2 linked regions of the Oryzias latipes genome follow. The protein of the gene in region 1 interacts with the protein of each later gene in a pairwise test. Links are inferred from orthologs where the notes say so. Each region holds a gene or a part of one and is shown on either strand. Other genes may lie near its edges.

Region 1 (4,408 bases):
CGGATGAGCTTGTTGATGGAGCGGATACGCCGACGGGACAACTCGCTCAGGAGGATCATGCCCTCAATGTTGTTGTACTCCAAAAGGCTGACGTACGCGCCCATCTCTGCGATGGAACGCACGTTCACCATCACAACATCCTCCACCTCTGGAAACCGGTGCTGATAAAATCGACAGCTGAGCCCCGGCATCACTGTCGAAAAACATCAAAAATCAAAACCGTGTTCAAATCTAACACATCTTATGCTAAAAAGAAACATTTTCATTTCATTGTTCAGCATAAATTCATTCTTATTTATTTTCTAGTCAAAGTTTGAAGAATGTTAACAGAATGGTGAGCTCATTTGGGTTTTTGTGATATAAAGCCAGATTGAGATGGATTTAAAATGAGGTACGGTAAACATATAAAAAGGAGTACTGAGGTTATAATAGCTAAGATAGAAGTTTATAGGAAAACTACTAAGAAAAATACTGACTGGATTGCATGAAAGTGGATTTTTAGCTCTGGTAAACACAGCAAAAAGAAAAACCATCTGTTTGGGATGAACATTTAAATGGACCAATCAATATGTATCTACTTTTTAATCAGTCATATCAAGAACTTGTCAATTTAGTTTGAATTGCCTAAAAATTTGAATTTCTACCACCATAAAGTAGAATCTAAGATCCTGTAATTTCCTCTAGGAAGTGAAACGATCTATTCTTCCATAACACATAATGCTATATTGTTAAAATATATCTAGTAATGTTCTAATAAGGCTTTAAATATCCATTATTTTCGTTGTTTCATATTTTAATAAAAATGATGCAATGCGGACAAACAAGCACGAACAGAACCAAAACAAGGCATTTATCAAACGAGTAAAAGGTCACTTTGACTACTTGAAAGTGCCTATCTATGCGCAATCAATCACAAAGAGTTACGATATTTATTTAAACACAAAAGGATTGACTTAATGCGTGCTAGCTGCCTGGCTAACCACCGGGTTCACGTGTGGCGCGTGCAATGTAGCTGCGGCTAACTGCTAGCCAGCTAGCTGTGACTACCGCCTGTTTTAACGCTAAACATCGAACTTCTTTTCTGTCAATAACAACTCACCTGTGTCGTGGGCTTACAGAACTACACACTTGAATGTTATGTGCTCTAAATATTGGTTCCCTCTACTTCTTTCAGCTAATTATTTGAGGCCGTTAGCTCGCATTCATAGGTGGACTAGCTGCTCGACCCGGAAAAGATCTTGAGCGCTTATCGCTTCGCGCATGTGCAGTGCGAGCTTGGGGCAGTCACATGACCAGAGGCCAGCTGATCATCACGGACGAACAAGATCACGGCAGTTACCTTAGTCTTTCAACTAATCCCGAATGAAGACGGTTGTTTGTTTGTCTGTTTAGCACATTTTTATACAACGCCCCGTTTTCAGATCGTATCCTGCAAAAGCCGAGAAGATGTCTGGAAAAGAAAGGATCGACGTTTTCCCGTCCAGGATGTAAGCACCTTGTTTTTCTTGCTAGTTGCTAACTCACTTAGCTTAACTACATTATTTCATTGATTCATTGGGTTTTTAGCTGATTATCGGTTATTTGTTTGTGATTGATTCTTACATAAACGTGTTTCTCACGTATGGTTTCGACTTTTCGTGCTGTCTGGACGCTAAAGAGGAAGGAGCCGCCTTGTGTGTCATGTGATGCTTCCAACATCTTGCGTTGGTCACTCACAGGTTTTTCTGTCTGAAGAAACCTGTTCCAGTGCAAATGTTGCTTTAGCTCATACAAGGGGACTCAAATTCGTGTTAAATTAGATAGTTGTTTTTGAGATTAACAAATACCGAGAATTTGGTTGCATTTCAAATTTAGAGCTTGGCGACTCTTTTCCAGACCAAAAAAAACGTTAAATTTGTGTGTTTGCCCTTCTGTCAGAGTTCTAATAACATACCTACATGACATCAGAGCAGAGGTTTGCAACCTGAGGTCCCTGAGCCACAAGCAGCTCATTTATTCTTCCATTTTGGCTCTTTGGCTTTGAAAAAGCAGGCAGATGTCATAAGGTTTAATGTGTCAGAGCAGTTTTTTTTTTAGAATAAGTGTAAAGCACATATTCTTATCTTCAGATGCACAATATTGTTTTCTTGCTGTTTAGTGACAAAGTTCTTATAATTGCAAGTAAAGGTGATGCAGCAGGAGGAGCGTATTTGACACTCACATGTATTTTATTTTGAAAGGATCGCGTACGTTAAACGTTAGTTATTTACAAAAAAGATCTTAACACTGTTATTATTCAATCCTTATAAATATATAAAAGCTACATTTCATAAATGAATGGCTCAACAATCACACAAAATGTATATATATATATTTTTATCAGTAATGCAAAACTTAAAAAAAAAAACCTTTAAAAAAAAAAAGGTGCGGTGATGCCCTACTTTTTCTGCTAGTCCTGTGTTCAGACTTCAAGGGTTTCTATGGGAAACCTTTTATCACTCTTGTCCTTCTCTCCTCTTTGAGAAGCATGCAGCACGTGCACACTCTATCTACACACAAACACGTGCGCTGTTTCAGAAACACACACACATCCTCATTCTACAATAGAAGTTTCTGTCTTGCCAGGAAATACGACAAATTTACTGCGTTCTAATTATTCCTTTCCATTACAAGCTGCGTGCGTTCTTGAGTGCGTGACACGGCGCCCGCCGGAAGATTTTGTTTGTGTGTATGTTTGTGTGTGTGTGTGTGTGGGGGGGGGGGGGGGGGGTGTAACACCAAACATGAACGGGCGCTGTTAGATTTCCATGAATATCACTACATTTTTGTTTGGGAACTATTTTGTGCAGCACATAAATAAGTGTCTGTATAAACAAAGGCGTTTTCTGCAGCCTTGGTCTGTTTGTCTTTCTTTCCTTGTTCAATAGTTCAAATGTTGCAGGTTATTTTAACCCAACAGATTCAGACACAAGTGTTGGTTTTTGGACCCATTAATGGAAAAAAAAAAAAAAGCAAAAACAAGTCAATAAATTCAAGTCTTAGAGCCAGATCAAAAAAGCGGTAAAGTCCATGTGTTTCTTAACATTTTTTTTGGTCACAACACTCCTTAGAAATGAGACAGAATTCTCTGTTTTACTCCAAAATGGTGGTTTTTGCTGTCCTCGCAGAGTAGTCAGGCCTCCTTTGTGTTTTTCAAACAACACAACCCACCTGTTGATCTTGCAAAATGTTTTTTCTGCCTTTATTTTTTTATGACTTTTTCAAATTCTAGATTTTTCTACATTTTAGTTATGTACCTTTGGCGGTTTTTCAAAACATTTCTTGTGCTTTTTATCTTGTACACTGTCTTTAACTATTAGTTTAAAGTGCTTTTGAGTTGAAAAAGAGAAAATATTACTGTAGTTATTTATACATTTTTTGCAAAGTTCTCTTATAGTTGCAAATTTTTTGACTGCAAAAAGAATGCATTAAATGATGTGATATATTATAAAGCACATTTAAAGTGTTTTGCTCTTCTTGTGTATGCAGGGCTCAGACCATCATGAAGGCTCGGCTGAAAGGAGCTCAGACCGGCCGCAACCTGCTGAAGAAGAAATCGGACGCCCTCTCTATGCGCTTTCGTCAGATCCTTCGCAAAATAATTGAAGTCAGTAAAAAAACCAAGTGATAAATGACATCAAAACAGAAATTTTTGTTGATCGATTTGGCTTAAAACAGTCAAATAAGTGACCACAGAGCTTTCTAAACGTAAATATTTCATGTTTTTTAGACAAAAACCAAGATGGGAGAGGTGATGAGGGAAGCTGCTTTCTCTTTGGCTGAAGCCAAATTTGCAGCAGGAGACTTTAGGTGAGAATAGAAATGCAGTAAAATGGGACATCTGGCACATTTCTCCAGCTAAATATATTTACTTAACTCTTTATTATTTGATGCAAATTAGATTTTTCTCATATAATATGCATTTATAATGTGATTTCTAAATGTATGTTTTTAAATGTTTTTTAAACTCGCCGTCCGCAGCACAACTGTAATCCAGAATGTCAATAAAGCCCAGGTGAAGGTTCGGGCAAAGAAAGATAACGTTGCAGGTTAGCTCACGCATCCTCTAATTGTCACCACTCTGAGAAATGTGGATACATTTGTCACATCCTCCGTATTCATCCTTTTCAGGTGTCACCCTCCCGGTGTTTGAGCACTACCAAGAAGGGGGCGACAGTAAGTGGCGTGTTCCTCCTCTGACATGTCTGGTTTAGCTTTTGTGGGAGCGTCCTTATCCTCGCCGTGTGTGACCTGCAGGTTATGAGCTCACCGGTCTGGCCAGAGGAGGGGAGCAGCTCTCCAGGTTGAAGAGGAACTATGCTAGAGCTGTTGAGCTGCTGGTGGAGCTGGCCTCCTTACAGGTAGGGGGTGCTGTTTCAGTTGCAACATT
Region 2 (3,386 bases), on another chromosome or scaffold:
GAAAGTTGCAGACCCCTAATCTAGAGCTATGTCTGTGTGTGAAAAAGCCTTAGGTGAGCTCTGATCCTCAGATGGATCTGCATGAAGGTTCATTGTCAACCGTCAGCTGTAAAACACATTTATATTCAGAGGTTCAGTCATTGCTGATCAGAAAACATGTAAACAGATGTCATCTTACTAATCAAATACAGAAATTGGGCAGGAAAGTGTATTTTTTTTACATGGTATATGGTGTATACTTATATAGCGCTTTTTCTACCTACAAGGCCCAAAGCGCTTTACACTCACAGACCCATTCACTCACACATTCACACACTGACATGTCTTGTCCTCTTAGTCACTTGAGGCTTATTTTGTCCCGTAAATACAGGTTCTATTTTATGAAGTTCCTGCACATGTTGGAGTACAAAATAAATAAATTGTTAGTGTTGAAGTGAAGGAGAAAGATGACTGTGGCTTCTATCAACACCAGATAGTTTTAGAGCAACCGGGGAATTATTTATGATATAAATTCAGGTGAAAACGTTAGTTCTCATGTTCTTTTAGAGATATATTCTGTAATGAGACATCTGACTATTTTTGACATTTTATTTTGATCTTTTGTACTTAAAAACATATTTCATATTCGGGTATTAACTCGAAATAAGACAAAAATAAACTAAATAGCACAATCTGGACCAGCACAATGACATAATCCAGGACAACAGTACACAAGCATCTGGGTTATTTATATTTGCATACAATAATTACAAAGCAGGGAGCTTTTTCCAAAGCAAATGATGCAGGTCAGTAAAAATCTGACCAGGAACCACTACCAATGTGTCATAAATCATCCAAAGAGGAAAAGATGGAATGTAATCTGGGAAACCATTGAAGCACATGACTGCTATGGACTAAAGATAGCTTGTTCAGCATAGATTAGGAGTTGAAGCCACCTTCTCTGTCTTTCCACACTAAAAATAGCAGATCTATGCACTCTTATCATTAATTTCTGAGCCCTTGTTTGTATTTTGCTCTTCCTTGTTGGACGGAGAAGCTGACAGCTCTGCAGATTGGTCCCCCCCCTGGATGGACTGCTCCTCTTGGTTTTGAGACTCAAGAATCTGGGCCCTGAACTCAAGGCGAGCTTGCCGGTTCGACTCCAGCAGTTCGTGCAGTTTTCCATTAAGTGCATCGTTCCGGTCCTCCAGGTCATCCAGGTAGGAGTTGATCTGGTCCAGCATGGAGTTTATGGCAGCGTACTCTGTGAAGGAGCACAACAGTCCAACATTAACGCCTGATGAAAGACATGGAGATTCAACAAAGACTGGAATGAGGAGAAATATAAAAATCAGAGCTTTGATGTCTGCAGTAAAATATAAAAAAAAAATTGTGACATTTTTCATATTTTTATGCAATTTTAAATAAAGTTGGGAGTTTTTGTTTTATTTCTTCTATTCTTAAATAAGGTTTGACCTACATTGGAATGCACTATTTTTTCCCACCTGCTAATCCATTTAAAAGTCAATGTCAAACCAAGATAAATGTGTACGAGGATGACCCTACACTTTGGTAAACAGTTACTTTAGGCAATTTTGTAATTAAAAATGAAAAGAAGGCGACAGAAAACAGGTGTTGTAGTGTAAATAAACCAGTTAGTCAAATCACAATGAACGGAAACATTACCCTCATCGCCAAATTCGTCCTCGTCGTCAATAATCCCATTGTCAGTGGAGATATTTGGATCGCCATTTGGTCCAGACATGATGACGAAGACACGAACAATATTACTTTAACACACCGATTACGTCTCCTTTGCTGTTCTTTTGCTAGCTAGATGCTTGTTAACCAACTAGCATCGATGATCTGCAACCATCGGGTCATCAGAATTACAAACTTATCTTGAATTTATTTTCAGATGATCGACTTTTGGTTTAAATAGTTATTAACAGCAGCTCCTCGGCAAGCCTGACATCTGTTGTCGACAGACGTTGTTTTAAGATCCAATTGAGTGCAGGAAATAAATTGTGTTCTATCAGTCCATAGTAAGAGGACTCACTACCAATTTATTGTCTGAATGAATGATAATTTTAAATCAGTTCTATTTGATGGCACATCGTTTTTATTATTAAAGGTTTTAGACTTTATTTTTACTTATTTATATCGTATTTACAGTAGTTAGTAAAAAATAAAGAATCTTAGTTTTGTAGACAACAGTTGTAATTTTGTAGAATATATCAAGAGTGACGCCTCTTTCTACTCAAACAATCTTGGTGCTTGAACTGTCACAGTCATCTGACGCAGCTCACATGACTTTTAGAAAATGTTTGAATAGTTTTGCTGTGTGTAGTTGTACACGGATTTTAATTGTCTACTTTCCATTTAAGTACACACAAAAAATATGTCTATTACTTGAAGTCGGATTTATATTTAAAACTTATTTTTTTGCCAGCAGCTTACTGATTTGCCCGCTATTCTTTTAAATTAAAACGTAAGGTTCCGATAATCTTATTATTTTAGATTGGAAAAAATAAACGTCAGATTATTTCTTTTTAGATTTATTTATCATTATTATTTGTTTCTGTTTAAAATATGTGACCGGTCCCGGTTTTGACCAGTGGGGGGCGCTTATTTTAACCCACTGAGTTTGCGCAAATGACCACGTGTATGTAGCTTCCGGTGGAGTAGGGTAATATTTTTTTTACCAGGAACTTTGTTTTGAAGATTTTGTTCTTGTTACTACTATGGAGGATTTACCTGCGGACCTCAGAGCTTTTCTCGTCACTCAACCGTTTTTTGAGCTTACAGATAATAAAAAGGTTAGCAACAATTTGCATGCGTCATTTGAGACACACGTGCACCCAAACAACTTTATGCTAGCACAGTGCTAATAATTAAGTGGAATGGCATTGTTTAACAATTTTAAATGTAATTGGTCGCATCGATGGGGGGAGGGGGGTAATATTATTTTTTATATACAACCACTCATATTTGTCATACACTCAGCAGCACCGCCTCGTTTTAACCATTTACATGTTTCTTTGCAGATCAAGTGCACTCTGAATGGTCATGAACTTCCTTGCAACCTGACTGAGCTGCAGAATTTCACTGAAGGGAAAAAGTATAAGAAACTGAGCTCTAGAGCTGAGTTCAACTACAGCCAGTATGAACCACATATCATTCCCAGCACAAAACAACCGTAAGGCCATTCTATGTCAGTCAATTATTTTTGGGGGTTAGGCCAATAAGTGATCAAAAGTGCACACAATGGAACAGGATAGTTTGGATTTTGGAATGTCTTCTCTGATGATACTTGTCTTTTTTTCTTCCAGCAATCAGCTTTTCTGTAAGTTGACTCTCAGGCATCTGAACCGGGAGCCACGCCATGTCCTCATCCACATCAATGG

The links.
Region 2: the proteins of atp6v1d (region 1) and c12h9orf16 interact in binary tests that used the Homo sapiens proteins (3 or more experiments, as listed by UniProt). The two-hybrid records come from large-scale screens. The link is inferred for Oryzias latipes from reciprocal best matches to the Homo sapiens genes ATP6V1D and BBLN.

The regions. Positions count from the first base shown.
Region 1 is NC_019882.2:5,865,550-5,869,957, reverse strand, and holds the start of atp6v1d (V-type proton ATPase subunit D), read left to right. Parts: upstream 1-1,284; 5' UTR 1,285-1,446; coding exon 1,447-1,487; intron 1,488-3,507; coding exon 3,508-3,625; intron 3,626-3,748; coding exon 3,749-3,828; intron 3,829-3,999; coding exon 4,000-4,067; intron 4,068-4,149; coding exon 4,150-4,194; intron 4,195-4,275; coding exon 4,276-4,379; intron 4,380-4,408. Other genes in the region: eif2s1 (eukaryotic translation initiation factor 2 subunit 1), read right to left, coding at 1-191. UniProt on the Homo sapiens protein: Subunit of the V1 complex of vacuolar(H+)-ATPase (V-ATPase), a multisubunit enzyme composed of a peripheral complex (V1) that hydrolyzes ATP and a membrane integral complex (V0) that translocates protons.
Region 2 is NC_019870.2:12,173,923-12,177,308, forward strand, and holds c12h9orf16 (UPF0184 protein C9orf16 homolog), read right to left. Parts: upstream 2,015-3,386; 5' UTR 1,745-2,014; coding exon 1,666-1,744; intron 1,244-1,665; coding exon 969-1,243; 3' UTR 710-968; downstream 1-709. Other genes in the region: surf2 (surfeit locus protein 2), read left to right, coding at 2,724-2,798, 3,027-3,178, 3,312-3,386. UniProt on the Homo sapiens protein: Essential for intermediate filament organization in intestinal cells, interacts with intermediate filament and regulates intestinal lumen morphology.